Coturnix japonica: one gene and its partner. The protein of the gene in region 1 binds, or shares a complex with, the protein of each later gene. Links are inferred from orthologs where the notes say so. Each region holds a gene or a part of one and is shown in the gene's direction. Other genes may lie near its edges.

The links.
Region 2: SYNCRIP (region 1) and HNRNPU share a complex: the UniProt entries of both Homo sapiens proteins name them as parts of the coding region determinant (CRD)-mediated complex. The link is inferred for Coturnix japonica from reciprocal best matches to the Homo sapiens genes SYNCRIP and HNRNPU.

Annotation. Positions count from the first base shown.
Region 1 is NC_029518.1:70,024,033-70,039,425, forward strand, and holds the end of SYNCRIP (heterogeneous nuclear ribonucleoprotein Q), read left to right. Parts: intron 1-2,074; coding exon 2,075-2,210; intron 2,211-3,082; coding exon 3,083-3,288; intron 3,289-7,674; coding exon 7,675-7,824; intron 7,825-9,054; coding exon 9,055-9,176; intron 9,177-11,919; coding exon 11,920-12,514; 3' UTR 12,515-13,780; downstream 13,781-15,393. UniProt on the Homo sapiens protein: Heterogenous nuclear ribonucleoprotein (hnRNP) implicated in mRNA processing mechanisms. Component of the CRD-mediated complex that promotes MYC mRNA stability.
Region 2 is NC_029518.1:31,196,475-31,211,867, forward strand, and holds the end of HNRNPU (heterogeneous nuclear ribonucleoprotein U), read left to right. Parts: 5' UTR 1-172; coding exon 173-893; intron 894-1,754; coding exon 1,755-1,866; intron 1,867-1,994; coding exon 1,995-2,068; intron 2,069-4,227; coding exon 4,228-4,367; intron 4,368-5,626; coding exon 5,627-5,726; intron 5,727-6,652; coding exon 6,653-6,765; intron 6,766-7,130; coding exon 7,131-7,394; intron 7,395-7,610; coding exon 7,611-7,730; intron 7,731-8,180; coding exon 8,181-8,309; intron 8,310-8,659; coding exon 8,660-8,828; intron 8,829-9,365; coding exon 9,366-9,605; intron 9,606-10,074; coding exon 10,075-10,277; intron 10,278-11,455; coding exon 11,456-11,527; intron 11,528-11,928; coding exon 11,929-11,982; 3' UTR 11,983-13,797; downstream 13,798-15,393. UniProt on the Homo sapiens protein: DNA- and RNA-binding protein involved in several cellular processes such as nuclear chromatin organization, telomere-length regulation, transcription, mRNA alternative splicing and stability, Xist-mediated transcriptional silencing and mitotic cell progression.

The DNA of each region.
Region 1 (15,393 bases):
AATTATGCAAGCATTCCCCTGAAGCAGTTTGCCAGCGAGGCCCAGCAGTGCAGCTTGTTCACCACTAGAAATAAACCTTGGGTGAAAGTGAATGAAATGGCGAACCAGATTGTAACCTTACTTCACCCGTCTGTGAATAGGTTCTTGAAGAACTCAGCAAAGTAAGAATGCTCTGTAGTGTCTACAGGATACTAATGTCTCTGTTGGCTTTGGGCGTGGATTCAGTGGTGACAGGAGAGAAAAGCGTTATGCTGCCCTTGCTAATCTTGTGGCCTGACTGTTGTGGCACTTAATCCAGAATTGGGCCTGTGTGTGCCACCACAGAATCACAGAATGACCCGGGTTGGAAGGGACCTCAAGGATCATGTAGTTCCAACCCCCCTGCCTGGCAGGGCCACCAAACATACACATTTACTAGATCAGGTTGCCCAGGGCCCCGTCCAACCTGGTCTTGAACACCTCCAAGGACGGGGCATCCACAACCACCCTGGGCAGCCTGTTCCAGGGCCTAACCACTCTCCTAGTAAAGAACTTCCCCCTAACATCCAACCTAAATCTTCCCTCATTTAACTTAAAACCATTTCCCCATTTCCTGCCCCGTGCCTTATCTAAGTTTGCTAACTATTTACCTAAAAAGCACCAGCTGTATATTTAGGAGCACCTAATTGCAGGCTGCCTTGTCAGAAGTAGGAGAAAGATGTGATAGAAAATAGTAGTTAATATATTGTGGCGTGAAAAACTAATGTCAGTGTGCAAATGCAGTGTGTTAGGATAATTAAGAGGTGTTCTTATTACAAGGTGTGGGAGAGTCATTTGGATTATATGTGGAGTCAGACTTTAGTCTTAGATTTTAAAAGGGACATCAAGATAATGTACTGGGTAAAACTGACTTGTATATTCCATTGAAGAAGCATCTTTTTTGTGTCTTGTATCCAGATGCATAAGGGACTTGCTAGTCCAACTAGTTGGAAATATGCCGTTGAAAATCCTTCCTGCATCTAGAGTTCTTTCAGCTCACTTCTACAGTTGTATAGCTTTGACAGTTCTCAGTTACACAGGGTTTTTTGGTTTTTTTTCCTACATGTATGTCTAAATAATTGTACATCTTCACCCTCATTTTTAGTGCATTGAACAGGAAGGGGGTGTGGAAGACTTTGCATATGTGGGAAAGTGTGCCACCAGGCACAGAACCACTTGCTAGATTAAATAGCTGGGTTGAATTTTGAAATGCTACTCTACTGCTTGTCAATAAAACACTGACCACAAAACACATTTTCCCAGCTGAAGAACTGCCTGTTGCTGGGCTTGCAATTGGAAAAGCGTTGATGTGCCACCATTTGACCTCCTTGCTGCTTATTTGGATGATACATGTCTGTCTGCATCCTAGTGAAAGGCACTTTCTTTGTCAGCAGTTGCCTGCAGTGGTGTATATTTTTCCTCTTGAACGGCTGATATGTTCAGGCTGCGTGTTTTGGGAGAGGCATTTGAACAGAAATCTTAGGATTTCAAAGCAGTGGAAGGTTCTGCTGCTTATTGTCTGTGTGTAATCTACATGCTTTGGAAAGAATTCAGCTATTGCTCTTGCATGCTTTGCGGAGAAGACCTGATCGTGGCCGTCTGTCTTTTGTGAACTACAGACTTTTGGAAGGGAATCTGACTTTAATTGCAACACCTGTCTTCTGTTATACACAATTCAGTTTAAGAATTCACAGATGCAATCTGTAGAGGAACTTGAGTTTCTTTCTGTGCTGCTGTGAAAGGATTACTTACCCTTGCCCATTGTGAGCTGGACATAATCGTAACTTTTCATAGTTCCACAAAAAATCTAAAGAAACTTGTATTAAGAAACAGGCTTGAACAAAAACCAAAGGTAGTTGTTGGCTGTTGCATGAAGGCAGTCTAGGGAACACAGTTATAGTGCAAAGTAATTGAGTATATCTCATAAGAATGTTCTAAATGTCAAAGAACATACCACGTTACTAGGTGTTACACTTTTAGAAGTGAAGTATTTGATAGTGCTGCTGTTGGAGATGAAAGTTATCCAACTAATGGTTATCTGTGGTTTTTTTTTCAGTACAACAATCACGAAATTCGCTCTGGGAAACACATCGGTGTATGCATCTCTGTTGCCAATAATAGACTTTTTGTTGGTTCCATCCCTAAGAGTAAAACCAAGGAGCAAATTGTTGAAGAATTCAGCAAAGTAACAGGTAACGCAGTAACTGTTGTATTGAGCTGGGAAGTGTCGGATGTGATCAGTAATGAACTTTCTGCCATCTTTATCTTGTTGAATGATGATGACTGATAGGACTCAGCATTTCCCTTGACTTTGGGGATTTATGGGTTGTTGTTTAATGTACTGTGCCAAGGGCTGAAATCTGTAATTAGACTTGGTGTGTAGGTCCAGTTTTACTGAGACACGTGTAATGTTTAGAAAGGCCATTCAAACAAACGTGTGGTTTAATTCTTTCAGTGCTAACAGGTATTTCAGAAACTTTTCAAGACAGAACTGAAGCAGATTGGAGAACATAACTAGTTTTGTGCTTCAGAATTGCTAGCGTTCTGATAAGGATCTATTTTTGTTAATAGCATATAGACTTGAAAAGGTAATGTTGTATGGTTTCTGTTACTGAATGCTGTACTTAAGGTTTCCTGGAGCAACACTGAAACAATTTAGAAGTATTGAAATCATGCAAGTTTAACCTTCTGTTCTTTGGACATCCATGGAAAAAGCACATGCTGATAAGTGTTGTGACATAGGGGTTTGAGAGGAGTTACAAAATGCAACTTTATGGCTGCCCTCTCTCCTCTGGTCAGTGAGAAGAAAGGTATTCTTCCATAGTTTCTAAGCTTTCCTCACTTAATAAAAGGGTTGCTAAGCTGGGATAGACTAACATCCTTTTGGAGATGTTGCTCTTGAAAGTGTGGAAACTTTAATATGTTCATAGGCTCAAAAGTCCAGCATGATCATGCTTTTTGGAACCACTAGTTAGATGTGTACTTCCCAGAAACATAATCTCTACTTGTGAACATCAAGTCATAGACTAAAGCTATAACAAATAAATTCTTTGCTTAATTTCAGAGGGCCTTACAGATGTTATATTGTATCATCAGCCTGATGACAAGAAAAAGAACCGGGGTTTCTGTTTTCTTGAATATGAAGATCACAAAACTGCTGCTCAAGCCAGACGTAGGTTAATGAGCGGCAAAGTGAAAGTCTGGGGAAATGTTGTTACAGTTGAATGGGCCGACCCTATAGAAGACCCAGATCCTGAAGTCATGGCAAAGGTAATAAAGCTGTAAGAGAAACGTAGTAGAATTAAAATACCTTGTTCCAGAGTAAGTATTTCCTGATATTAGCCCAGGTTTAAATAACATCTGTCAGTCTTCTTGAATATAGATGTGAATTTTTAAATAACTACTGTCTGATGTTATCTCATTCTCCCAAGGAAGAATTGGTCCATCTGCTGGTGTACTTAATTTCTCCTCTGGAAGTGGATGTAGTGACTCCAAAAACACAAATAGCTTTTGTAGTTTAGGATTTGATTGCACAGAAATTTGGCTATGGTCAGAGAACAAGCCTGAATGATTTGTAACCCTGGAAATGCATGTTTATAACTTAAGAAGTGAAACATTTAAGATGTGCAGATTGGACTTTTCAGAGATGTAGCAATAGCTTTTGAGAAGATGACCAATTATTTTGTACTTTGAACTATGTATTTTTTTTTTTCCTTTCTTCATTACTTTGGCAGAGTGTTAATTCCTTAAAATGTTATGACTGGATTTTGAGTATTTCAGTTAAGCTTAAGTCTGAACTCTAAACATTGTGAAGTACACTGCAACACTTCCATTATACATATGATATTTTGCCATAGGAATTGATTGCCTGATTTTTTTTCTTCCCATCAGATAATGTCCAAGTCTGTTGTTTTCAGTTCTGTTGTGTAGCTGGGTTGTTTGATAGAAACTCATAGCTAGCTCTTATCCTCATCTCTTCACTTGCTTTTTGCCCGTGCTTTTATTTTCACCTGAGACAAATCACTTGCTGGAGTCTTGCTTTGTTGGGCCTAGTAAGATGACTTGGCTGAGAATCTCCTCTTTGCTGGTCCATAAGAAAAAAGGGCTGGAGCAGGGGCTCACTTTTAGGGGAAAAAAATAATCTGCTTTTGTAGTAAGGGCATTGCAGAAGCATTTTGGAGTACCCTGTTTTCAGGCTTTGTTTTTCTTGCTATGTATTGTAGTTGATCAGCAACAGGAAAGAATCTGTTGAGAGTGGCACTTCCTGCATCTCTGTCTGAATTTCTTGGCTCAAAAGAGAGCCATCCTAATCCAACATACTGTTAAACTAAAGAACCTCTGATGACTTGGTCACATAGTTAAGTGGGAGGTGGAAGGGACATCAGTCCCTATCAGTGTCTTTCTGTGGTAAACTTGCAAGTGTAAGGAATGGAAGACTGAAGAAATTAAAACTTGGTAGTGTTTTGTCCCGTATAATTTTTTTAAGGTGTCACCCTTTCAATACCTTGTGTTACTTTATATTTAAGTGGGAACCGTGTAGGGTTTGTGTAGGGAGCCTGCTTTGGCAGGGGGGTTGGACTCGATGATCTCTAGAGGTCCCTCACAACCCCTACAATTCTGTGATTCTGTAACTACAGGTTGGTTATCGGTGTTCCCAGCCACTGCCCTTCATGAGCAAAGGGAGAGTGCTTGACTCTTGTATGCTTCCTTTGGTAGAAGGCTCTGGGAGGAGTGCTGTAAGAGTAGAAGGTTGCTTTTATCAGGGCAATTATTTGATCTGCAGTTTTCTCATCCAAACTACTAGAAAATAAAGTCCATAAGAGCAAATGGTGTTGAAGGCAGATTTACCTTGAATTAGCCAGGGTATGAAAGTGATGTTTGAAATACCTAGCAAAAAAGCTTTTTTATAACTTTTAAGTAGTTGTGCTGATAGTTTTCTCCTAAGCAGCATTTTGATGCTGCTCATGTTTTAAATTATTTCTGTAGCGTGGTTGTGGGTACAGAGCATGTGCTGGATTGGCAGCTTAAGTAGCTAAATAAAGTCTGGTTCTCATGGCTGTGTGGTAGATGATAGGGCAGGAAATAGGGATACTAACCCCTGGAGAATGTAGTAACAGAGTTTGAAGTGCTTGTGCTGTAGGTAGGAGGAGGAAAAGGACCAGATTCAGACTTTCTGGGGGTAGTTCAATCTTGAGCAGTTCACAAGTGGGTCCTGCATTTATTACACAATGCTGCTGTGCATTTGCATGCCGAATAGCAGGGTATATTTGTTGTTAGATGTGTATTGGTGAATTCTTGGTTACAACCTCTGAGCCTTAACCAACTGCGTTTTTTCTTGAAACCTCTTCAGCTTAAATGAAATAAAAGTGATTTCATCATCACTCAGCCCATGCTTCAGTTTTTCTCTTAGCATTGACACCTGTGTCCTCCCCCCTCTACTCTGCCCTGGTGAGGCCTCATCTGGAATATTGTGTCCAGTTCTGGGCTCCCCAGTACAAAAAAGACAGGGATGTCTTGGAAAGAGTCCAGCGGAGGGCCACTAAGATGGTAAAGGGCCTGGAGCATCTCCCCTGTGAGGAGAGACTTAGGGAACTGGGTCTGTTTAGCCTTGAGAAAAGAAGGCTGAGAGGGGACTTGATCCAGGTTTATAAATACCTGAGGTGTGGGGGCCATAGTGGTGAGGCTGGTCTCTTTTCAGTAGTGCGTGGGGACAGGACTAGGGGTAATGGGATGAAAGTACAGCATAGGAAGTTCTGCACGAATGTGTGGAAGAACTTCTTTATGGTGAGGGTGACAGAGCACTGGAACAGGCTGCCCAGGGAGGTGGTGGACCCTCCTCTGGAGATATTCAAGACCCGACTGGATGCCTACATGTGCAACGTGGTGTAGGGAGCCTGCTTTGGCAGGGGGACTGGACTCAATGATCTCTAGAGGTCCATTCCAACCCCTACAGTTCTGTGATTCTGTGTTGATTGGTTCAGATACGCATTTCACCTGTAAGAACAACAAAGGTGTTAGAGATCAATGTATCCAACTGCACAAAAGAAAATTTAAACTATTTGTGTTTTTGAAAGTGTCACATTAGAGCAGTTTGTACTAAGAAATAAAGATTATAATCTATATGGTTTGTAATCATATCTGACACAGAGAATGTCAGCTGCTGTGGTCTTACTGTTGAAGGCTACTTAGGAGTCTTGTGAGAACCGTCTCTGATTTTATCCCTTCTTAAAGCACAAGAATAAGCAACATTGGTGTGAAAGATACCAGTTCTAAAAGCAGGCAGTTACGTGGCAAAACATTTGTAGTTCACTTTTTTAATTAAGGCATGGTTAAGATATCTTGCTTGTGCTAGGAAGGCTCGTTGACAAATGTTAACATGGGACAGGAAGAAGCTTTCCTTGTGGAGCTGGCTGCAACTTCTTTCATCCCCCGAGAATCTTCCAGGGTAGCTATTGCCAAAGGCTGAAGTTGATTATCTAGATCAGATTTATGGTCTGCAGTGTCCTTTCATCCCATCCTAACTCTGCCATCTAGTGAGACGAGGATTTATAGAAGTCTGTTCTGTTTATTAGTAACCTAATTACATGGTCATACACATAGTAATTATGTATTATACATACAATTAGATGTTTGGGTGTTCTAAATTCCTATACTTTGTAGGAGCAGGGGTTATAGTTTCACTTCAGAAAGTTGAAGCATGCTTTCTTTGGTTCCTTTGTAGCCTATGTTACTTGTGTTGACCTTTAGGATTGGAAATGGGAAGTCAAATACTGTCATAGAGCACGTTTGCTTGCTTTTATCACCATCGGTAGTGGGGGAGGGTGTGGACAGAGGTTGCAGCTGCACTGTAGGAAAGTAGCACTGTAACTTCGGGACACAATGGCAGCATCTGAAAGGGACTCCCAGAATGCAAGAGAGAACTCATGGGTGATGTCGTGCAAAGGTAGTGATAATGCACAGTTCATTTAGTGCAGTGCTAATGTGGGGAGGAAACAGGTTTTCAGTTGGTTGGAGGTGGCTGTTTTCTTAAACGAAGGGCTCAGCTTGACCTGTGGAAGTCCAAGAGTGGCCTGGCAGTGTCAGCCTCAATGTCCCGTTCTGTGTTTCTTCCCTCTTCTGGATGTGGATTCAGCTCACTGAGTGTTTCTCAGGCAAGCACAGTCCTGCTGCTCTAGTATTTGGTGTAGCTGTAGCTTGGGAGCCACAAGTTAAGCAGCTTGAGAGCTGCAGGCCTGTCACCTCTGACCTAGATATTACAGTGATGACTGTTCTGCAGAAACCTGTCTGAACAATGGGATGTTTTGATAAGTTAATTATTTTGTGTGTAACCAATCTCGCTTGCCTTCTTTCAAGTTTGAAGGTGTTCCTGAGTTGAAAATTAGAGCTGCTGGGATTCTTTTAAAGATTAACAAAAACGCTGTTGACTTTCAGGATGCTAGTGCTATGTAATCATGTTTGAAAATGGATCTCATATTTTTAGCAGCGAGGGATGTTTGCAGCCAACTTGTGCTTATAGGAGCGTATAAATTTCCATATCTACATACATTAAACACTACATTTAAAGGATATTTTCAGTGCTCCCAATAGTAACAACTTGCAAAGCTTTATTTTGTCTTTTGGATCACACTTCTAAATCTTAACTAATTTGTTTTCCAGGTAAAAGTTCTATTTGTCCGCAATCTTGCCAACACTGTAACAGAGGAGATACTAGAAAAGGCCTTCAGTCAGTTTGGAAAGCTAGAGCGAGTGAAGAAGCTAAAAGACTACGCTTTCATTCACTTTGATGAACGGGACGGTGCTGTAAAGGTACGTGGAGAGAGTTGTACTTGTGTGTGCATGCTCGTGCAGGTGTGAAAACAGTTACTAAATATATAGTTTAGATGATGTATTTCTTCTAACTGTGGAGGAGTGCTAAGGGTTTTTGCTGTAAACATTCATCTCTGGGAATCTCCTATAAAAAAAACACCAAAGCGTTTGTTAGCTTGAAAGACTGCATCTTAGGTGCATGTATCCTGAGTAATTCTCTGATGAGTATCTAAGATAATCATACCTGTAATTTGAAATAGAAAGTGCCAGAAGTTGAATGACTTCTCAATGAATTTTCAGTAGACGCTAAAGTCATTTCTCTAAGACAAGCAAGATTCATTTAGGTAAAAACCTATTTTCTAGGAGCTGAGCAACTTCATTTTTTATGGTGTAGAATAAGCACCTTTTCTTTTTGACAGGAGGTTCAGGACAACTGAGGAATTGTCACCCCCGGATTTTGTTAGCCTGGTCTTTTCTCTGGTCATCTGTTGTTAGGAAGGGAAAGTGCATTTCCTCTCCTGCCTGTAGTCTATTTTTTTTTATTATTATTATTTTAATGTCCTGTGGGAGGATACAGGATACAGGGGGATTTAGCTTTTCTTGTTCATCCAAATGTCTTGAAGCAGATGCTTAGGAAGATGATTGAAAGAGTCTTCTCACAGGATACACATCCTGTTGAGGCTTGGCTATGTAGAATCCTTAAAAGCTGTAGAATCTTCAGGATTCCTCTGCTTGAAGTGAACTTTTAGCAATTACTGAAACTTCCTTAATTGAGAATGAGACTGTTACTTTTTGGCTTTAAAAAAGAAACAAATTAACGTGTAAAAGCACAAAACCACACTGATTTTTTAGTCTTAGTAGTGTTTGTATTTATGCTGACAGTAGAAATATATTGCCTTACTGCAAAGTTTTCCTTAGTGTCTTTTCAGAAAGCAGTTCTGCCACTTCATTAATTGAAACAACTTGAAAGGATTTGAGGTCTATTCAGAGTTTTGAGTGGAAGATTTTTAAACTAATACATGCAGTCTTGGGTTTCAGAGTCAAGTTAAGAGGAAATGCATAACTGTCTGAAACCCATAATATTGTGCTGTCTAATTCTCTTCTTTAGGTTTAAATTGTTGTTTTAGCTGTGGATAACAACATTTAAAATGCATATTCTAAAGGATAGAATAAAATTAATAACTCCAGATATGCTTAGAAGTATATTTAAAGTCTGGTTAATTCCTTCAGGCAATGGAAGAAATGAATGGCAAAGATTTAGAGGGAGAAAACATTGAAATTGTTTTTGCTAAGCCACCAGATCAAAAAAGGAAAGAACGGAAAGCTCAGAGACAAGCGGCTAAAAATCAGATGTAAGTGTAAATGCATGCACATGTGTTGTATTACTTCTGAAAGACATGTATGATCTTAAGAACTAGAACTTCTAGGTAGTTAGTAAGTGTATCATAGTGCACATAGGTTCTTCAGCTTCTCTTAAAATGTTGGATGTGTTTGTGTTTTATGTAAGATCTCGTGGTGTTAGTTGAGAATTCAGTTACTGTTCTGCTCAAAGGGTGTATGAGCACCAGAGGAAACGTGTGGGTTCTTCACTTCTTGTTCTTAAGCTTCATGTATTTCTGCACTGGTCTGTCAGATGGATGTATTTAGTGACATGTGCTCCTTCTAGCAGTCTTAGGAGAATTGATATGGCCACCCCTGAAAGGAGGATCCTGGTATAAGTTTTTGCAACTTCCAGAAGACACATCTGTTTATGAAACTTATAAACTCATCAAGATCTCACTCTCTTGAATGCTTAACATGGCAAAAAATACATTTCATGTCACTGTGTTCTGCTTAATGTTCTCATGTATTTATCTTCTTGGGTATCTTGTAACTTTCCTAACCACCTTCCCTCCCCCCCTGTATTTCCAAAAATAACTTCTGCCACTGCTGCTGCGCAGCAAATGAGAAGACAGGATGGTGGGGTTACCAGATTACTGCAGATCTCCAGATAGTGACCTAACGTACGCATGGAACTGCTTAAGTTTGCCCTGCTTATAGGTCTTGTAACTTTCTTGGCCCTTTTGTTCTTTCCCATTACTGAAAGGAGTTGATCTCACTATTCTTGTGCTTGTATTCTGTGCCATGCCTTTTCTGTTCTGCTTATTTTGTTTGATTATGCATCTTCTTTCTTTGTACACTTTGTCTTGGCAGTAGCACAGTGAATACTTGATTAATTGTAATATAAATTGCTACTGAACGTTGTACGACTCCTTAAGGAAGGCAGTTGTCTGTGTGGTCAATAAGGGTAGTTGTCTCTGGTTGGAGATAAGTTTTCTCTGGATGAATTTGAGTAATAAGAAGTCTTAACATGGCAGTAGACTTCTGATTTTCCAGCTCTTTATTCAGGATCTGGTAATGGTTTGTTTCTGGCAGTGGAAAGGAAGATTTTCATAGGGGGTGTTTGACCAGCTATAATGCTCTATGACTTCCATTCCCCTGCCCCTAACTGTTCTTTGTCTGTGATCTGACATCCAGTATTGCTACTTCTGGATATTGCACATGTATTTAGAACACAGGATGTCTTCTTGCTGTGTAACAACTCTAAGAAGAACATAATAATGTATGTGTATGTTATTTCCCCTGCCCCCTTTAAGAAGCTCGTGTCTAAATTTGTGGATGTAGGTGAAGCAGGGTTTCCTCTCTTGTTTTTTCTCTAGTCAGAGTTACGGTACTTTCAGTCATTCAGTCCCTCTTTCCAGTTCTTTCATTTGGGAATTTTCTATATTCCTTTACTTTTAGGAACTATTGAGGCATCTGAAGTAGGAAAGTTAGTTAGGAAGGGAAGTTAGACTCATTAAGCTCCGGGCTTATTTGAATTTTGGTTATACTATTAATGAGTGAATTGAGAATTGTAAGGGCTTTTGATTTTCTTAGGGTTCTAAAAAGGGAGTAGAGGGATATGAATGTTATTAAGTCTGTATTGTAGTTACATGAGAAGTTTGAAATGACATCCTAAGGTCTAAGAGGTAACTTGGAGTTTGTACTCCATGGTTGTAAAAACGCTTCTGACTTTCTTCTGGAAACTTGCGCATGGCTGTAGATTCAATCTGGTTCATGCATTTTGTGCTTAGTGCATATAAGGGACTTTCTAGTGAGGAAAGTGCATTTTGAATCAGTCTTTTCCTGTTTGAAAGCCATCGTGATTGTCGGGGTAGAACTTTTTAATGCATGAGTTGCGTTAGTGGTATTATTATATTTGAGGGAGAAAGAATGTGAATGAGATCATAAAGTTTGCGATGATTAGTAAGTTGGCTCCATCCTAGGTTTGAAGGGAACAGTTCAAAAGTCTTGACAATAGGGACTTCATTAGGAAATAAATACACATAAAAATCACAGTGATGTTGGAGAGCGACACATCTGCATCTCTAATGGAATGAGTACCCTTTGGTACTTAAAGTATGAACAGTTAGTAAGAAGATAGCAGAATTCCGGCTGAAACCTGGTGGTGATTGTAAGGTTCCATAGCGGCAGAAAGGTCTGGATTGGAAGGCAATATTAAAGGTCTTAGCGATCATTGATAATGTGGGCAGGTGTAAAAGGCATCTGAATGCATTGCTACTTGGAAGAGAAGTTGACTATTTAAAGGGGAGAAGCACTCCAACGATTGGAGAGTTGAGGGGTGTGGGCAGGTAGAATAGTGGTAATGTTACATAGGAGTTGATGAGACAGTCATATAAATATGCATTTTAATAATAATAGCGTGAGAGGATTAGGTTTCAGTTTGCTTGGTCTGCTGCTCCTAAACGAGGGCAGAGTTTCGTTGCGTAGTACTTACTTAATGAGAGGAAATTTTCTGTGTGGTAGGGGCAGAAGTAGATGATTACCTTAGGCGTTAAGTATTGCATTCATAGAAGAAATGTCACTGATAATCAAGTTCCTTAATATTAAGGTTTTTCCTAATGCAGAAGGCAGAAGTGCTTTGTAGAAATCAACCTGTCGTGATAATAGCTACCTGTCACGAAGTAGTCATTCTTGAAGTAGAAGAATATTATGTGCGCGGTTGCTTAGTAGTAGTTCCTTCGAAATCCATGTCGTCTGTTTCCTTTTTTCTAGGTATGATGATTACTACTATTACGGTCCACCTCATATGCCCCCTCCAACAAGAGGTCGAGGCCGAGGAGGCAGAGGTGGTTATGGATATCCCCCTGACTATTACGGATATGAAGATTATTACGATTATTATGGCTATGACTACCATAACTATCGTGGTGGATATGAAGATCCTTACTATGGTTATGAAGATTTTCAAGTTGGAGCTAGAGGAAGGGGTGGTAGAGGAGCAAGGGGTGCTGCTCCATCCAGAGGTCGCGGGGCTGCTCCTCCCCGTGGCAGAGCCGGTTATGCACAGAGAGGTGGTCCTGGATCAGCAAGAGGCGTTCGTGGTGCGAGAGGAGGTGCCCAGCAACAAAGAGGCCGCGGGGTACGTGGTGCGAGGGGTGGCCGCGGTGGAAATGTAGGAGGAAAGCGCAAAGCTGATGGGTACAACCAGCCAGATTCCAAGCGGCGCCAGACCAATAATCAGAACTGGGGCTCCCAACCCATTGCTCAGCAACCGCTCCAGCAAGGTGGTGACTATGCCGGTAACTATGGTTACAATAATGACAACCAGGAATTTTATCAGGATTCTTTTGGGCAACAGTGGAAATAGAACAGTAGGGCTTCTGTAAAAATTAGAGACTGATAGGTTGATCAGAAACTGGCCCTAAATCTGAACGGTTGCCGCTATAATTTGTGACATCTGGCAAGATGCCCTTTATGTATATATTTTAACAATCCGCTTGGACGTGAACAAAGCCACACTTCTAACTGCTTCTGGCGAACTGATTTTATTTTTTATTTTATTTTTCAATAAAGGCATTCTTAGGTATTACAAAAAAAAATAATAATAATAATAGTTGAGTTTGCATTACTGCTTGGGAAAATTTGGCTCAAGTCTATTTGGCTGTAGTGTATGCTATGTTTCCAATAGTATATAGTCTTGGTGTCTATGAAAGGTAGTTGATAAAATCTGAGTGTCTTTAATAACTTGTATCAGAGTAACTATTTGTATGTTACCAACTTAAATTGCTAGAAAAGGTAAATTGATACACAATTGCTTTTTTTTTTAATTTAGAACTTTGACCTAATTTGGTTTTTTCAAAACCATTTTGGCTACCTGTATTCTTTATGCTGTTGTTACTTCAATAAAAATTCACACCTAAGTGTACACTTACTAAAATTGTGTTTACAATTCGTTTTTGACAAATTTTACTGCAAATTTGGTTCAAATTGTGTAGCATGTCAAGGCCAATTAAAGGGTTTTGTGCCTTGTCGCTGTTGTGTGGAATATGTCTGGCACATTACACAACACGGACTTACTGCAGTTTTCTGCTCCTGGTTGAAAAGTGCTAGTTTGCAACAGACTTCATGTTCCCACCAAATGCTAAAGTAGTTCATGTAGTAAGTTAAGTTGGTAAGTATTTAATTTGAAACAATTGTTTACGTAACAAGCTGTAAAGAGGCAGCTTAGAATTGTCAATCCTGCAGAAATTTTTCTTTAGCGTTTCAAGGTCAGTTTTGGCCAAAACAAGTTAACGTAGCTTTTACAGTTTCTCTTTCAAGTAAATGAATTCAGAGCTATAATTTGGTTCTATTTTGCTGGTAGTGAAACCGAAATGCTTGAATTTAAGTAGACTGTGGAAACCTGTTTAATACATGAGACTAGAAACAGGTAGAAATTAGTGGAGGTATTGGAAAAGCATGAATGTTGGAAATTACCAAATGACTTGTCTGTTAAATCCTCTTTAAACCTCCATACGTCTGTTTAAACTTTGCCCCATTTATTTCCAAGCAGGTGCGCGCGCATATGTATGTACATATCTATGAAATATGCATTAAAAACGATGGGTGAGGTTTAGAGCCCTGATATAATATATAGAGACTTTTTTAGTCTGTTTCTTCAGTGGTGCTTTTCAGCTCAATGAGTCGTCTTGAAAACTGCCTTGAAAATGGTTGCTAGGTATTTTTTCATTTTGGCACTGCTCTCTTAGATTCCAAACTCTATATTAAATAACAAAAAAAAAAAAAGAAAAAGCATTAAAAAAAGGAAGGATTGCACCTGAGCAAAGATGTGATCTTTTTCTTTTTAAAGTTATGCCTAAAGCAGTTAGGTTGCTGAAATTCAAACTAGATCACAAGTCACATTATGCTTAGACTTGATTCAATTTTCAACATGTTTTCATGATGACTGCAACCGCAGAGTTTTATATTACTGTTATTGGGACTTTTCTATAATGTAAAGTTGTTTGTGACTTAGTGCGCAAAACCTTAGCTGGTGATAACAAGGTTTAAACCTTAACTTTTTAAATAAAATCAGTTTGTGACAAAGTGGTAAAACACTCCTAGCGAAATTGCAAAGTTAGTGGCAAGCAGAAGGCAAAATGTTCACCTAGTAGTTTTCTTTTAAAGTAATTCGTTTTGCTAAGATTTTATGTTAACAAATGTACAGACCAGAGTTTAAAATGATTTATCTAATTGATTCCTTTTGTTACCTGGCTAGCAGGGAAAAGGGGTCGAGGCCGGTCCTGACCTGTTACAATGAAGACTGACTTGCTATGTGGGATTACACCAGAAGCTTGCAGTGGAGTAATGGTAAGGAAATCAAGCAACCTTAAGTATCTCAGCTGTATAGGAGCATATTCTGTTGCAAAAGACCTTCCTGCGAAGATCATGGATTCAAATATGGGACATTTGAACTAATACTTGGACTTTGAAATGAATTTCTTTAACAGTTTTCTCTGCAGTGCAAGTTATTAAACTAAAGCTACTCTATTTCCCCAATGTGTTCAACAAAATCCTTAACGTCTAGCATGGTATCTTAATAAAGAATAAAGTTGTTCTTTAAAAAATCTGCTTTAAGTAGATTTTTCCCCCAAGTTTTCTTAGTTAAGGATTCCGAAAGTGGTATTCATAAATTCTTGCATTGAAATTGTTATTGCAGTGGTATAGATGAATACCATCGTTGGTATCCTTAAATTTTATTTCTGCTCATGAAGGTTAATCATGATTGTTTATATAGTAATCACTTATGAATTGTGTTCAGATACAGCAGTTTCAGGTGTAATCATCAGAGCTGGTTAGTCAGGCATTCCAGATAGTGGTTCTTTTCAGAACCTTTTTTAAAGGGTTGGTTAACTACCTCAGTAGCAGAGGATTGAACTATACCCTGTCTGTACTGTACATAGAAAATCTTTGTAGATAAAAGCAAGGCTTGTTTAATATGATATGAGGGTAAGATTATAATATACCAAATGTAACATTCTTAGTTGCCTTTAGTTCCAGAGGCTTTGTAAGACTTCCTCATGACCATCATAACAGGCCTTGCTTTTGTCGTATTTTGTGGCTGAAAAAGCAGCCTTGCTTCTTCAGATATTGTAGTTATTTGGATGTATAATAGTTTAGCAAGATGTTACTTTTGTAAGACATCAGATGTTCAAAAAAGTGCATCAGCAACTTGTACTAAATACTGCAGTGTCCCTTTATAAAAGG
Region 2 (15,393 bases), about 39 Mb from region 1:
GTGAAAGGATTTGGCGCCAGGCGGGTCCGCTCTGCAGCTGCCGCAGCCGCACGAACCAGCCGCGCCACCCGCCCACCGCCTCCCGCCGGGGCCTCGACCCAGAGCCGCCGCCGCCCGCCCGAGCCCAGAGCCGCCCCGCGCGCCGCCCAGGGATCGAGCCGCCGCCGCCGCCATGAGCTGCTCGCCCGTCAACGTGAGGAAGCTGAAGGTGTCGGAGCTGAAGGAGGAGTTGAAAAAGCGGCGCCTCTCCGACAAGGGCCTCAAGGCCGACCTGATGGAGCGGCTCCAGGCCGCGCTGGACCAGGAGGCCGGCGGGGGGGGCCCAGCCGGCGGCGCGGCCGAGCCCGGCAACGGCAGCGTGGAGGGGGAGGCGGCCGAGAGCGGCGGCGGCGCCGCGCAGCTCCGCCAGGGGGGAGGCCTCGAGCAGGCCGCGGCTTCGGCGGCGGACGACGACGACGAGGAAGGGCTGGAGGCCGCCGACGGCGACGCCATGGAGCTGGGAGAAGAGAACGGCGAGCGGGCGGGGGCCGGGGGCGGCCCGATGGAAGAGGAGGCGGGCGGCGAGGAGGAGGAAGAGGAGGAGGAGGAGGATGAGAACGGAGACGATCAGGGCTTCCAGGAGGGGGAGGACGAGCTGGCCGACGAGGAGGAGGCCGCGGCCGGGGACGCCAACGGGCACGGGGAGCGGCAGCCCCAGGCCCAGCAGCCCGCCCAGCAGCAGCCCGCGCCGCGCGCCGCCGCCAAGGAGGCCCCGGGCAAGAGCGCTGCCGGCGCATCGGGACCCGCGGCGGCCGCATCCACCGGCCCGGCCGGCCCCGCCAAGCAGCAGCAGCAGCAGAAGAAAGCGGAAGGTGGCGGCGGAGGAGGCCGCCCCGGGGCCCAGGCGGCTGCGGGTGAGTGTGCGCGGCGGGAAAGGGGGGGGAGGGAGCCGTTAATCCTCCACCTCGGCCGCGAGGAGCGGGGCAACGGGCCGCACGGAGCTTTGCGGGCCGCGAGCGGGCGCCTCCCCCGGGGGAGACGGAGAGCGAGGAGGGCTGGGGGAGGGGGCTTCTACCGCCCCCGTGCCGCGTGGTCCCCTCGAGGCCGGGGCGGGGGGTCTGGGGAGCGGGACGGGCGCGGGGCGGGGGAAGCGGGGGCGGGGAAGGGACCGGGGGGGGGGGGGGGGGGGGGGGGGGGGGGGGGGGGGGGGGGGGGAGGTAAGGGGAGGGGCGGGCACCGAGGGGCCGCTGGGGCGCGCTGTATTGTGCTGAGCGGCGCCGGGCCGCCTGACGTCACCTCCGGCCGGGGCTCCTCGGGATGGCGCTGGGAAGGCTCGGTACAATGGAGGCGGGCGGAGGCGGAATCCCTGCCCCGCGGGCGGCAGGGCGGCCCCGCAACCACAGCCCGCCGCGCTCGGCGGCCGAGAGGCGGCGCCGTAGTGCTCGGCGCCACGGGGCCCTGCGAGCGGCGTGGAGCCGGCGGGCTGCGGGACGGGCGGAGCCGCAGCGCTTTGTGTCCGCGCAGCGCACCCAGAGGGACGGGCTTTCGCTCGGCATCGCGGTGCATCGCTGGTTTAGCGGATGGGTTTGGAGTGCGCAGGGAAAACTCGAAACCATGATGTTGTTATTGTAGTGAAAAACGGGATTCTGCCGTGAGCTGCTATTGTTTGGGTTTTATTGGGTTTATTTTGGGTTTTATTTGGGTTTATATATTTTGGGTTTTATTTCCGACTAAAGAGTTATTCCGTGGTGTTAAAGTCATCGGTTTTGTTACAGGAGATGGCAAAACAGAACAAAAACCCGGTGAGAAAAAGAGGGGTGTCAAGAGACCACGTGAAGACCACGGCCGTGGATATTTTGAATACATTGAAGAAAATAAGTACAGCAGGTAAATAAGCTTTCAATGCTGGGCACCATTGTATGAGTGAGGAGAGGTAAGATGGGCTTACTCTAAAAAAGCGTTTCCTCTTACATTGGAAGAGCGCCTGGCTTCATTCTTCACTGTTTTCTTCTTAGGGCCAAGTCCCCTCAACCACCTGTTGAAGAAGAAGATGAACACTTTGATGACACAGTGGTGTGTCTCGATACCTGTGAGTAGCCATGCTTTCCTTTGGTCTGCAGGGATACCAAACTGTCTTTAAGCTTAAAGCCCCACATTTCAGAAATACGGGGTTAAACTGTTTGGTGATTTGCATTACCAGACAACATAGAAATGTTTGATCCTTGCGTTTTAGCATACAAAAGGTATATTAGTCTTCATATTAACAATATTCAGCTAAATTTTTACCTGGAAGTATGTGATGTGCTAATTTGCTGAAGAAATCCTAACTGAAATGGTAGAGTTGCATATGGCAAAACTGACTGAGTGTTCAGTATGTATAGGTGATGCTTGAAACAACCTGAGGAACTGATAACAGCACATCAGCTTCTCACTTAAAGAACCAATAGTAGATAGCTATGGTAGTAAAACGCCTGGACTGAGATTCCTGCATAACTCACTGAAGCCTTATTGATGTATCAACAAGTTTGGGGTTTCTTCTGCTGTTTTCTGACAAATTAACAATCAGCTTAAGTCTGCTGGGAAAAAAACTAAATGACCCATTCGTGTATTCTGAGAGTTGGAGGTGGTTTGTGTAAGTACTGCTGTGATATACCATGACCAGGGTAAAAACCTGTGTTCTTATGGGTAAGTATCAGTTGTTACTGTAGAATTTAAAACTTAAGGTAATGCATTAACTTGTCAGATTCTTTAAATTCCATGAAATGCGACCTTAAGTTTTGGCTTCATTTGGCATATTTGCTAGTAGTTTCAGGTTTTTTCTTCCTGAGAAATGTTTTGAAATGGAAGGAGGCATTAGTTTACAGCCACGTATTTTGCTGAATATGCCATTATCTTCCAACGTGGTGAGTAGCCATCTTTGTGGGAGTCCTTAACTCTCCCAATAACTGACTGGTAGCTACTTCTGATTATTGTATCTAGTAGAAATTTCTGTTACCCACAAACAGTAACTGAAAGTGTCAGCAGGCTGTTGGGAGCACCCCATCAAGCACAGCTTTAAAGAGTGAATTGTATAACAGCTTGGCTCTCTTGACTATGACAATCCATGTATAAGAGGTTTAGTGCTCTTAAGTGCTTCTTGTGTCTTAGAAGAACATTTTGGCTAGAAATTGTTGTGTGTTGCTTTAAAAGTAACCTACACTGTTTTATTCTGCAGATTGCTTTTGTTTGGCTTTCCTGCTACAACTAGAAGTATTAATGGGAATGCTTAAGTCCTAACTATAGCCACAGATGGCTTTGTGCAAACAAGATCTCCTGTTTGAGAATTACCAGTAATACAGGGACAACTGCAGTTTAATATGTGCGGGCATCATGTAGACTTTCTGCTAAGGCGGAAGATACTCTGGTTGCTAATTTCACACCTTTCTTGTAACTGTCAAATAGGTTCAGAGTTTCTTCTGTGGATTCCTTACTCTGGGGGATTCAAGTGCCATATCCTGCACTTCACGTTCCCACTTTGTGTTGTCATTTTGAAAGCTACTGGAAGATAAATCTGAGACTTTACAGTGCAGCAGTCCCGAAGATGTCTATATAACAGAGGTTCCATTTAAGGCTCCTAGGGTTTTGTCAGGATGTTGAGTTCATGCTGCAGATCATGATTGGTTTGGGTTTTTGTTTTTACACGAAATGAGCTCACTTACCATGTGCTGTGTGCTTATCTGCACTTAACTGACTTTATTTTATTGGCTTAATCTAATTGGACTTGGCTAAAGGACTGTATATCTCCTGAAGATGGTACTACTTCCAGTACTTAAACAGAAATACCCGTGTTTGTACTTAGTGCTTTCAGACATTAGGGGTAAGGCTTGACAAAAAGGAATCTAGCAAGTAGCTCTGAGAGCAGCATGCATCTTCCAGATACACTGCATTGGATAACTGACAAAAAAGGTTGAAATAGGTGAGATGGAAGCCAAGTATTTATTAAAGCTTGGGAACTTAGTAGTGGAAGATGGCACCATGCAAATCATGTTTGTTGTTAGTTGCATTTACCTCAGTTCTTTGGCATGTGTCCAGTTGTCCTCCTGCCTTTACCAAATGGCAGCTTAAAATCACCTTAGAAAACTGGAGTCACTTTTAATGCATGAAATGAGAAAGTTTTGCTTTGTTGGTGTTTAGCTTTTCTTTTTTGTGGGTTTGTTTTGCTTTTCTTTTGTTTTTTAAACTGAAGTATGCAATAATTTTTGTTAACAGATAACTGTGACCTGCATTTTAAAATCTCAAGAGACCGGTTTAGTGCTTCCTCACTGACCATGGAAAGCTTTGCTTTCCTTTGGGCTGGGGGGAGAGCTTCCTATGGAGTTTCTAAAGGCAAAGTCTGCTTCGAGATGAAGGTAAGACTTTCATTTTTGTGGGAGGCTGTTTTAGGTGTTAAATATTACAGTGTTTATATTTCAGTGTTAGATGTTAAAGAAAGCATTATGTAATGATGCAGAGAAATGGCTCTCAATGAAAGATGCCTTAATTTGCTAAACTGCTTTCTCTCTTTAAGAAATTAACTTGAAAATAAAGCTGCATTTGACATGACAACGTAACTTACTGTCATAGTTTTAAACAGAGAATTTTAGGCGGCACTTGATGCACCAGAACATAAAGAATTAGAATAGTAGTTGGGAGCTCACTTGTGTTTACTTCATGAAGATTACAGAAGTTTGGATTTACCAAACTTTTGAGTTGGAATGGAAAAGGGCAATCAGCCTTACAAGAAACAGATTCCTCCCACTTGTCAAGGAAGAAAATCAGGAGTCACAAAGTCAAACATCTTGATTTTTAGCAGCGTTAAAGCCTTATTTGCTGAAGATGTGTGTGGACATGTGCTTATTCTGTTCACTTTTTTACTACTTCCAAATGTTAACTGCTCACATATGAGTTGGTAGTGATCCCATTCATTGGTGACTGTAACTCTGGGAGGACAAGAACATGAAACATTGTATTTATTGTCTTGTTACTCTTCAGACTTTCCCTTGGTCACATGACTCAAATATTTGTGGAAACCAGTGGCCTGTGATTTTTTTCCCCACTTAAATTTGATGCTATTTTCTACAAGGCGATTAGAGGAGCTGGTTGCCTCCAGCTCGCAGTGCTCCCAGGCGAGGTTTTTGAATCTGGTTCTGTTGTTTGGTAGTTGGCAATTTGCCTGGGATCTCTGCTTTCTCTGGAAAAGGGTGTAGTATTTCCCTGGGTCTGTCTGGAGAAGTGTTCTCATCTCATGCCACACTTTATTGGCAAAGCAATTCGCTGTTAATCCCGATGTTGTAGCAGAGTTTCTAATTGATTATATTCCTTGCGGGCTGTAATTTTAACGCAGTATCAAGAGGGTTGATATTTTTGACTATCAAGAGAATGCTGTGATTAAGTGCTCTGAAGGTACGTGATGTTTTGCATCTCCGTCAGTCAAGGGATTTGAACATTTAGTGACTGCTTTGTGATTTCACAGGCATGGTTAAGTCTTGTACTTAAGCAAAAAAACTGTTATTTGGACTTGTAAAGATGTAAGCAGAGAATAAAGGTTCTGGATGTTACCATTGCTTCTTTCTTGTTGGGATCTTAGAAAAAAACACTCAATAACTTTTAATGAATAATTTAAAAATAGGTTACAGAAAAGATTCCTGTTAAACACCTGTATACAAAAGACATTGATATACATGAGGTGCGAGTTGGCTGGTCGCTGAACACAAGTGGAATGTTGCTCGGTAAGACCTCAAGTTTTTCTTCTGTGTTATATTGTCTGTGGTTGAAATTTTCCTGTCTGACTAACAGAAAAGCATCTGTAAAACTGAACGATTGTAGCCCGTGTGTTTTGAAAAGGGGTTTTGAGTTATTAATGGATGTTGTGGAAGTTTAGTACTGGGACCAAACAAGGTTAACTATTTAAGATTTTGAGATTATAAGGTTTACGCATAGAAGGAAAATTCGTAGATAATTGTGTTACTATTCTCTTGGAGTTGGGGAGTCTTATTTCTAAACAGCTGGAACAACAAAAAACAACTTCAGTAGATAAGTGGGATCAGATAATTACTGTATTTTTAACTAATAGCTGCTGATGAGATATGTCTGAAAAATGTGTACGAATAGGGGTATTCTGATAGCAGCAACTTTCTAGTTATACGTACTTAAATTCCATCTGAGTTCTTGTGTTTGACGTTTGCTGTTAGCTTGTTCCTTGCAGCTTCATCCTCAGCTGTCGCATAGGCTGAATGTCTGCTAAACTCCCTTTAAAATGGGGAGGGGTAAGTGCTGCTGGAGACTTAATTCAGAAATGCCTTTCTGACTAACTGCATTACAGGTATACTGATTCACAAACAGGTTTTCAGGGTTTAAGAATACTTACTCATGTCTTTAGCTAGAAGTGTTCAGCATTTTGTCACCAAGAATCTGGAACCAGTAGCATAAAGCTTTTAAGGTTAGGGTGAGGAAAAAACTGCTGTTCCATTTTAAATGACACTATTGAATTCTTAAATGCAAGAAACAGCTGTAGCTATTCTGAGGGTGATGACTTGTTTTGGCATCAATGAAAACATTTAGAACAGCAGTTCATTTAAGTAATTGTGAAGTAATTGCGTTTCTGAACAGCTAGAAGAAAATACGTATTATTACAAAGTTTAAATTTCTTGTTCAGGTGAAGAAGAATTTTCTTACGGCTATTCTCTAAAGGGAATAAAGACATGCAATTGTGAGACTGAAGACTTTGGTGAGAAGTTTGATGAAAATGATGTGATTGGATGTTTTGCTGTAAGTTTTCTCTTAAGTTATTCTCTTGAGGAAAAACATCCTTTAATTTTCAGGCTGCTTTGATGTGAGAAGCGGTTGATTTGAAGAAAGACAAGTTATTTAGCGTACTGAGAAGGTAGAAGTAGCATGTATAAGCAGCAGTGGCTGCTGTCAACCTTTCTCATGTTTTCCAAGGCTTTGAAAAGAATAATCATGTCTTAGCACGATCATTGATATTTAAAGATTGTTTCCTAATTTAAGGATCTACTCATTTTATAATGGTGTTATTAGAAGTTATATAAATACAGCCAGTGTGGTGAAATATTAATGTGTTTTTATGCAGTGTGCATGTTTTTACACAAACTAACGCTTTGTCTGTGAAACAGAATTTTGATGGTGATGAAGTGGAGCTCTCGTATTCCAAGAACGGACAAGAGCTTGGTGTTGCATTCAAAATTAGTAAGGAAGTTCTTGATGGGCGCCCACTCTTTCCACATGTTCTCTGCCATAACTGTGCAGTTGAGTTCAACTTTGGTCAGAAGGATGAACCTTACTTTCCTGTACCCGAAGAGTATACCTTCATCCAGAAGGTCCCCCTGGAAGACAGGGTTCGAGGACCAAAAGGACCTGAGCAAAAGAAAGATTGTGAGGTAAGTTTCCTGGTTATCTCAGAAGTTGTTGAGGAGAGATGAACCCAAGTGTTGTATTTTAAGCTGTTAAAGAAAATTCACCTTTCTGTCTGAAGAATTTAATACTGAGTAGCTTGTGCCTCTCTCCATACTAGATTTCCATTAGGGTTGCTAGGCTTAGTTGCTTATTAAGGAATATCTGTGAGCTAGCATCAAATACGGAATGTGTTGTAATAGGTGGTGATGATGATTGGATTGCCTGGAGCTGGCAAGACTACATGGGTAACTAAACACGCAGCAGCAAATCCTGGGAAGTACAACATTCTTGGGACGAATACTATTATGGACAAAATGATGGTAAGTTGATCATTTAAAGACTTGCTGTAAATCCAAGGTCCTTGGCTGCCAGGGAATTCCCTTCAGTCTAAGTAATCTAAGAAACACGTGATCGTTATTTGACTGACTGTGAGTGCTAAAGATGTTACCGTGCTGAGCTACTTCTCATACACAGCATAGCCAGATTTTGAAATTTCTTATGTAATAAATATCAATCAGGAAGTAATTGATGTTTACCCATTTGTTTGTCTCCGTCCTCAGTACAGAAAATACAGCTTGGAGTCAGTAATACAAGTACACCTCAGATTCAGCTGTATCAATTCAAACAAATTCTTTGCTTATAAAAGAAAAAAACTGAATCGGAAGTTTGTATTTATGTATTTTGTATCCCTGAAGCCAGTTGAAAATAACTTTAGCAGAGCAAAATATCAGTTGTGTGTACTGAGTCTACTATAACTCAAATTTCTATAGGTTGCAGGTTTTAAGAGGCAGATGGCAGACACTGGGAAGCTTAACACACTGTTGCAGCGAGCTCCACAGTGTCTTGGAAAATTCATTGAGATTGCAGCTCGTAAGAAGCGGAATTTCATTTTGGATCAGGTAGAAACTTCAGTAAAAAATTGTTAAGGAATTTTGCTATAGGCTGTAATGTAGTAATTAAGTGGGATTAAAGTTATATTTTAATAGCGGTTGTTTCACTTACTGATTTAATGTGCAAAGTTGAGATGCTACTGCAAATGCTTTTCTGAACTTCTATGGGATGTGGGAGGAATAGTGTAACACTTTGATATGAGCTCGTTCGTAACTTTGCATTATGCAGCTTCTTTATGTCCAGTTATTTGTAAACTTCAATGCAAGCTCTTGTAGAGGTGAAGTCTATACACCATAAGTTGACTTCCTTAACTCTTACAATGACAGCTACGTGTAGTAAGTTACTGCATTTTTTTCAGACAAATGTGTCTGCAGCTGCGCAGAGGAGAAAAATGTGCCTGTTTGCAGGCTTCCAGCGCAAAGCAGTTGTTGTTTGCCCAAAAGATGAAGACTACAAGCAAAGAACACAAAAGAAGGCAGAGGTGGAGGGAAAAGATCTTCCAGAGCATGCAGTTCTCAAAATGAAAGGCATGGAACATAATCCTATACTGTGTTTTAGGATGCTGAATATCTGCTTAAAGGATTAAGTAAACCTGAAATCTAAAAATTTACGTTATCTTAAACAGTTGTACTTAAACAAAACTGGAAGACTATTGTAACTTGTAGGACAACACTATATTGTGTTCCCTCTGCTGCAGTCCTTAACACTACTCATTTATGCTGATATGCTTCATGCAGATGCACAAAGCTGTCTTGGCATAAAGTGCCCTATTTAAGTGACATATTTGGCAGAAACTGATGTTCTGAGTGGAGGCTTATAAAGGGAAAAAAAAAAAGCATAGGCAGAATGCTTTCAAGGTTTGGAACAGTACTGGCAACTCCATGGAGACCCTTTTATTTCTTTTGTCACTCTTACCTTTCTTTACTGCTCAAATTACGTAATTTTGTCCCTATGCTGAGAGAATGTTGGGGGTGGGAGGAAGAATGAGAGAGAAAGGTGGTTAAATGCAGCTTGAATTGTGGCTGAATGGAGATGCTGAATACTCAGTGTTTTTGCAATTATAGGGAACTTCACACTGCCAGAGGTAGCAGAATGTTTTGATGAAATAATCTATGTAGAATTGCAAAAAGAAGAAGCTCAGAAACTCTTGGAACAATATAAAGAAGAAAGTAAGAAATCTCTTCCGCCAGAAAAGAAACAGAACACTGGCTCAAAGAAAAACAAGAAGAGCAATAAAAATCAGTTTAATAGAGGGCAGAGGGGGCGTGGAGGATTCAACATGCGTGGCAACTTCAGAGGAGGAGGTGAGCCTAGAAATAAGTGTATAAATGTTGGGGATAACGGATTGCAAAAATAAGAAAGGAAAGCTTGTCCTATTTGAATTGCATCCATTCTGTGACAGTATCATCGATTTCAGTTCCAGTAAGTTTTTAATAGCTTGACCTTTAGTGCAAAGCTAATTTTCTGACACGTTACAACTGAGCTTCACAAAAAATGTTGCTGTTTGTGTAGTTTGAGGTACAATTTTAAGTTCTTACAGTAAATCTGGTGCTTCCTTGTGTAGAACGCCATATTAAGGGGGCATTTGGTATCTTTATGTTGCTTGGCCGTCATGGATAAAAGGTTATTTTGAAGTGTTTGCATTGGAACTTCTGCAGTGAATTTTGGCATCTCGTTTTTTCACCTTTTAAGAGTCTTTGTTTGAAGCTGTAACTGCGTGAGAGACAATTAAGGCCTAACAGGTACTTGAATTGAGCAAACTTTTCTCTGCAGTCCCAGGCAATCGAGGTGGATACAACAGGAGGGGAGGCAATATGCCACAGCGTGGTGGAGGTGGAGGTGGCGGTGGTGGCGGCAGCAGCGGTGCCATTGGCTATCCTTATCCTCGTGGCCCTGTCTTTCCTAGCAGAGGTGGCTACTCAAACAGAGGAAATTATAACAGAGGTGGAATGCCCAACAGGGGAAACTACAACCAGGTAATGCTTGTCATGGAGGAGTTACTAGTTGATATGCAGTACTCTGGATACTGTTCTGTTGTTGACAGGCTTGTTAGCTGTGGATAGTAGCAAGCTTGGTACACTTAGTTCCACAGCAAAAGATTTAACTTTCTAGCTAAGAGTACATGCCTGGAGCTGTAAGAACTGTGAATGCTGATGCAGTGGTTTCCTAGTAAGCCTATCTTAGTCCTGATAAAGCTGAAGGTTTTTAGAGTTTCTGTTCCATTGTAAAGCACTTCATAGTCTGAGCTTCATTTATAGAATGTGGGTCTACCCTGTGCAGTTTATGCTTAAGTCTGGCTTATAGTCCAACTGTTTGAGTTTAACTAGAGTTGGGTTTTGATACTGCACAAATTGTGCAGAAGTCCGTATAAGAGCAGCCATACTAACAGGTGGTTTTGTTCCCTCATGCTGTCCAACCTGCAGTATCAGTAACTGTTGTTTGACCTTAAGGGCAGAGTGTATCTGTTCAGAAGATAAAGTGGATGGCATTTAAAGAATTTTCTGGAAATTGCTCTGGAAGGAGTCTTTGTATTGACATCTTGTATCAAATCATGAAAGACATGCTAGCTTTGGTCTTAAACTGACAAAGTATCAGTGAAAGCACTTGAAAATATGATTCTGATTACTGAAGAGCCAGTAGATGGAGCCCAAGCTAATAAACATGGCTCAGGTTTGTCTAACACAAATGGGAAATGCAGTATTTTATCATAGATAGTCTTTTGTACAAAGGCTTTTATTTAAAGTTTTGTGATCTAACTCCTCTATTTTAAGTTGTATGACCCATATCCTTTTGTCCGATCAGATAACATAGCAACTACAATCTTCCCTAACTAAAAATAGGCAAGCTCTAGTATTTTTAGTTGTCCTAGTGCAGTTTAGTAGCTGGATATAGGGTGAGTCAAAACTGGATTAGCCAGCTTTCCAAACCATTGGCAACTGTAGTCTGTGTCTGGGGTAAAACCGCTGCCACTAAACAGGCAGGTTTTAAGAGGCAGCTGCTTGAGGCTGGCTTTTGGTATTTAACCCAGCCCCGTTACTGATACTTGAAAGATTGGGTATGGCACGTGTTTTGGTGGCAGTAGAAGGACTGGTGTTGCTGTGTTTCTGCCAAGTCTGCATGGATGAGGTGGCTCAAAACTGTTGTCCTCTTGCAGAACTTCAGAGGAAGGGGGAATAATCGTGGCTACAAAAACCAATCTCAGGGCTACAACCAGTGGCAGCAGGGTGTAAGTAGTAATAACTAAACTTTTTCCTCTTAATTTGACTGTTAAGTGTTTCAGAATGCTTGGAAATTAATGTGTAACCAGCACCAGAGAGCAGAATCTTCTAATGCCAAGTAATATTATAAATAGTTCTGCAAAGCTTGATCTGGCTTGATATATCAAGTATCAGCTATGGCGCGTTGGTCTTAATGGCATTGAAGTATTTGGCTCTGTTACTACTGTGTAATGAACGTAACCACCTCCAGTTGTTCTGGGATTTGCTGCTATTTGAGACGATTTTAATCTCAAGTTCCTGGATAAGTTAAATGTGTGTTTAAAAACTCGTTCTCTAAGAAGCGTGTTATGTGCTAACTTAATTAACTATTTTAACTAACTTAAATTAACTATTTATCCATTTATTGCAGCAATTCTGGGGTCAGAAGCCATGGAGTCAGCATTATCACCAAGGATATTATTGAATACCCAAATAAATGAACTGATACATATTTCTCCCAAACCTTCACAAGAAGTCGACTGTTTTCTTTAGTAGGCTAACTTTTTAAACATTCCACAAGAGGAAGTGCCTGCGGGTTCCTTTTTTAGAAGCTTTGTGGGTTGATTTTTTTCTTTTTCTTTTTTTTGTACATTTTTAATTGCAGTTTTAAAGTGATTCGTAAGAGAACCTCAGCATTGTGCACGATAAGAGAATGTGTCAGTATTTCAGGGTTCTACATTTTATCTGTAAAATGTGACTTTTTTTTTTTTTACCACAACAAAAGTAAAACGTTGCTTTGTACCTGGTGTCTTTTTATTAAAGAATTTTCTCCTTTTTCCCCCCATTTACCCCAATTTCTAAGAAACAGTCGTGAGTCGTGTCACAAATACGATCGAAATACGAGCAACCAGATTCGTGTGGAGGCTCCTTGGTAGCCCTCATGAATATATAATGTAAAGCTCCATATTACACTCCATCCTCTCTATAAAGCTTTTGTGTGGGGAGGTGGGAAGGGGGTGGTAAAAGTTTCTGGCAATAAACTAGGACTTTTTTGTAACATTTGGAACTCGATGAGATTGGGGGTGAAGAGGAAACCTGGAGCTCAATAGTGAAGGTGGAGTGTATGTAGAAGCTCTTAAAGTTGTAAAACTTGGTTGCGTTACTTGTGGAGGCTCAAACTTGTGAAGGTACACCACCATAATTTCTTTTCCATTTGTTCTGCATTTTGATTCTGAAAAGAAGCTGGCTTTGCCCATTTCTTATTAAACAAAACTTGTTGTAAATCCAGTTGTCTAATGGGATCTATATGAAGTTAGCTGTGTGTCTGTATAACTTCCCCACCAAATACTGTATACCTAGTGTGCTTGTAGTAGTTACTCCACCATTTTGTAAGCTAATGAAACTGTGAGTCACCCATTTTATATCTAATTTTTAATCATGTCGATTCTCAAATGGGTGTATCTCCTCAGCCTGCTGATTCCTTTTCTCTTTAAAGAAAGTGGGTGGAGAAATTTAACTCTAGACGTTTGTTTGCAATAAAATAAATTCATTTTACTCTTGCTTTGGGATTGTTGCCATCAAGGTCTAAAATCCCTTTAACGCTATAAAGAGGAAGAGAATGTATGGAAGTGACCATGTCGGACAGTTCTGAACTCATTACTTTGTACATGCTGAAATACTTGTGTTTCTTTAATACTCTAAACCAGTGGTTGCTCTGTTAGAGGTGTGTCACATGTATAATCTCACAGCTTAACGGTTACATGCATAGGGCAGAAGTCTTCTGAGTTTCACTTGCATCATGTAAATCCACTTAATCTATTTATTGTAAAATAGAAACTAGGGAAGAAGTAGAGGAGGAAACCGCAGGGACTAGAGGAGAGTTGTCACAGAACGACTCCTGAAGTGAAGCAGAGCGCTTTAACTGCTGTTTTGTTCAGACTTACGCTTTTTGTAATACTGTAGCGATAATGTTAGCTAATAACCTACTGCATCTTAATGCCATGAGTCAGGGAAGAAACACAACTGCTTGGTGTTGGCCTGACAGCGTACATGTGAAAACATTGCTGCCAGCAGCTGGGAGTTGGAGCTGGTGTGCCGAGTTCCTGTTGGCAGTGTACAGTAGATTGCAGAGGCTTTCCCAGCAGCAGCGTAGAGCTAGAGGCAGTGTAGTGTGCTTGAAACCTTCCTCAAATGTTAGTCGATTTCTAATAGTCCTTGAAAGTAACGATAAAGTTGTGTTGCTCTTCTAGCCTTTATAGCAGATGACATTGCATATTGACATTAAACATTAACAGCACCACCTCCTTGTTAATACTGCTTTAAATCATCCCTTTACTTTGAACAAGAACAATGTAAGTTGTCTTTAAAGAAACATTATTTAATGAACTAGAAATATGGGAAATATAAACCCAACTGTTTTTGCTGAAATGGAATTTTCTTTAGACTTGCAAAGCAAATCTTAGTGTAATTAAGTTCCACCTCCCTTCTGCCTTCCTCCTAAGAACCTAACACTTTGTATGGAGTGCTGATCCTTTGCTTATTTTGGTACTCTATAAAATTATATAGTCTTAAACTGAAATATAAGAGCCTACACTTACTATGTGCTTGTAAAGTTTGTATTTTAATGCAAAAGTCTGGGCTGTTTTCTTCTCTTTTCAACATACGGTGTTAATGCCACAGTGGAGAGGAAGGGCTTGAAGTGGCTTCCCATTGAAACAGGAGTATGTCTCAACTAAGAATACTCCTAAATGAGGAATGTTGCCTTAAGGTACTCAGCACTAACTGCTCCCTGTGATTTCAGGTACAGAAACATAAAGCTTCTATGTGCCATCGAGGAACAGTTAGTTCAGAAATGTGATATGTGAGTGTAAGTACTTGCTGTGCTCATTGCAGAGCAGGCCTTCATTTGTGTGAGGCTTGGTTCAGCCTGGGTTCATCCACAAGGGAAAACTTCCTTTAGTTTATCTTAGCGTAGCTATTGCTAAAAGGGAGATTTGTTTTGAAAATTGTTTACCTAGAACATCGCTACTGTTCCAACTAACTTCAATTGCCATTTATTTCCCTGAAAAAGTCTGGTAACTTAGTAGCATCGATGCAAAGAAAGCACAGCTGCATGTTGTCAGCATGGCAGGGCTGAACCATCTGTCATATTGAGTAACTTCACAGCTTATAAGGACTTGTTTACAGGAGGAGAGGTGCCTGTTCCAGCAGCTGTGGTGCTGGTGGGGGTGTAGCACATGCTCGTGGCATATAACACCGTGGCAGGAGGGTGGTGAGGACTGGGGCTCCTTGTAATGCAGCCCAAAGCTGGAGCGCCTGGGCCCTGCCTCCACAGCAGCACCGTGGTGGCTGCTGTATGTCTGAGCCTCAGGAGCAGGGCTGCACTGCTGCCTGTGTCCTGCAGCCCAGTCTGGGGCCTGCTCACATCTTGCTGCTGCAGCTATGGCTGCTTTACTGTAGAGCCGTGTGTATGAGGCCATGCTGGAGACGAGACAGAAGGCTTCCATTTGGAAGGCAAAGCCAACAAATACTTGTGTTGTCTTTGAGTCACTGCGCACAGCAGTTGCTAGGGTACGTGGGGTAACACGGGAGCTCCCCTCACACCCTGCTGTTGGCATGAGGCTGTGTCCTTGGGGCTCTGTGAGTACCTCAAGCCTGGCACTGAAGCATTCTCAGGTAACCTGAGGTTGGGCCCTTACCTGTGGGATGCTGGATTCTAGCTTACTCTCTGGAACTCCTTATGGGAGCCCTGTCCTCAGAGCCAAACCCTGCTGTAAGAAGCCAGCTTTGCTCATGTGTTGGGCTGCCTGGGGGTTACTGGGCAGTGGGGTCTCCATGTGGTGGAGCCTGTGTGCCTCGTGCCTATGGCAGAATGATGTTTGACTGGCTAAAACAT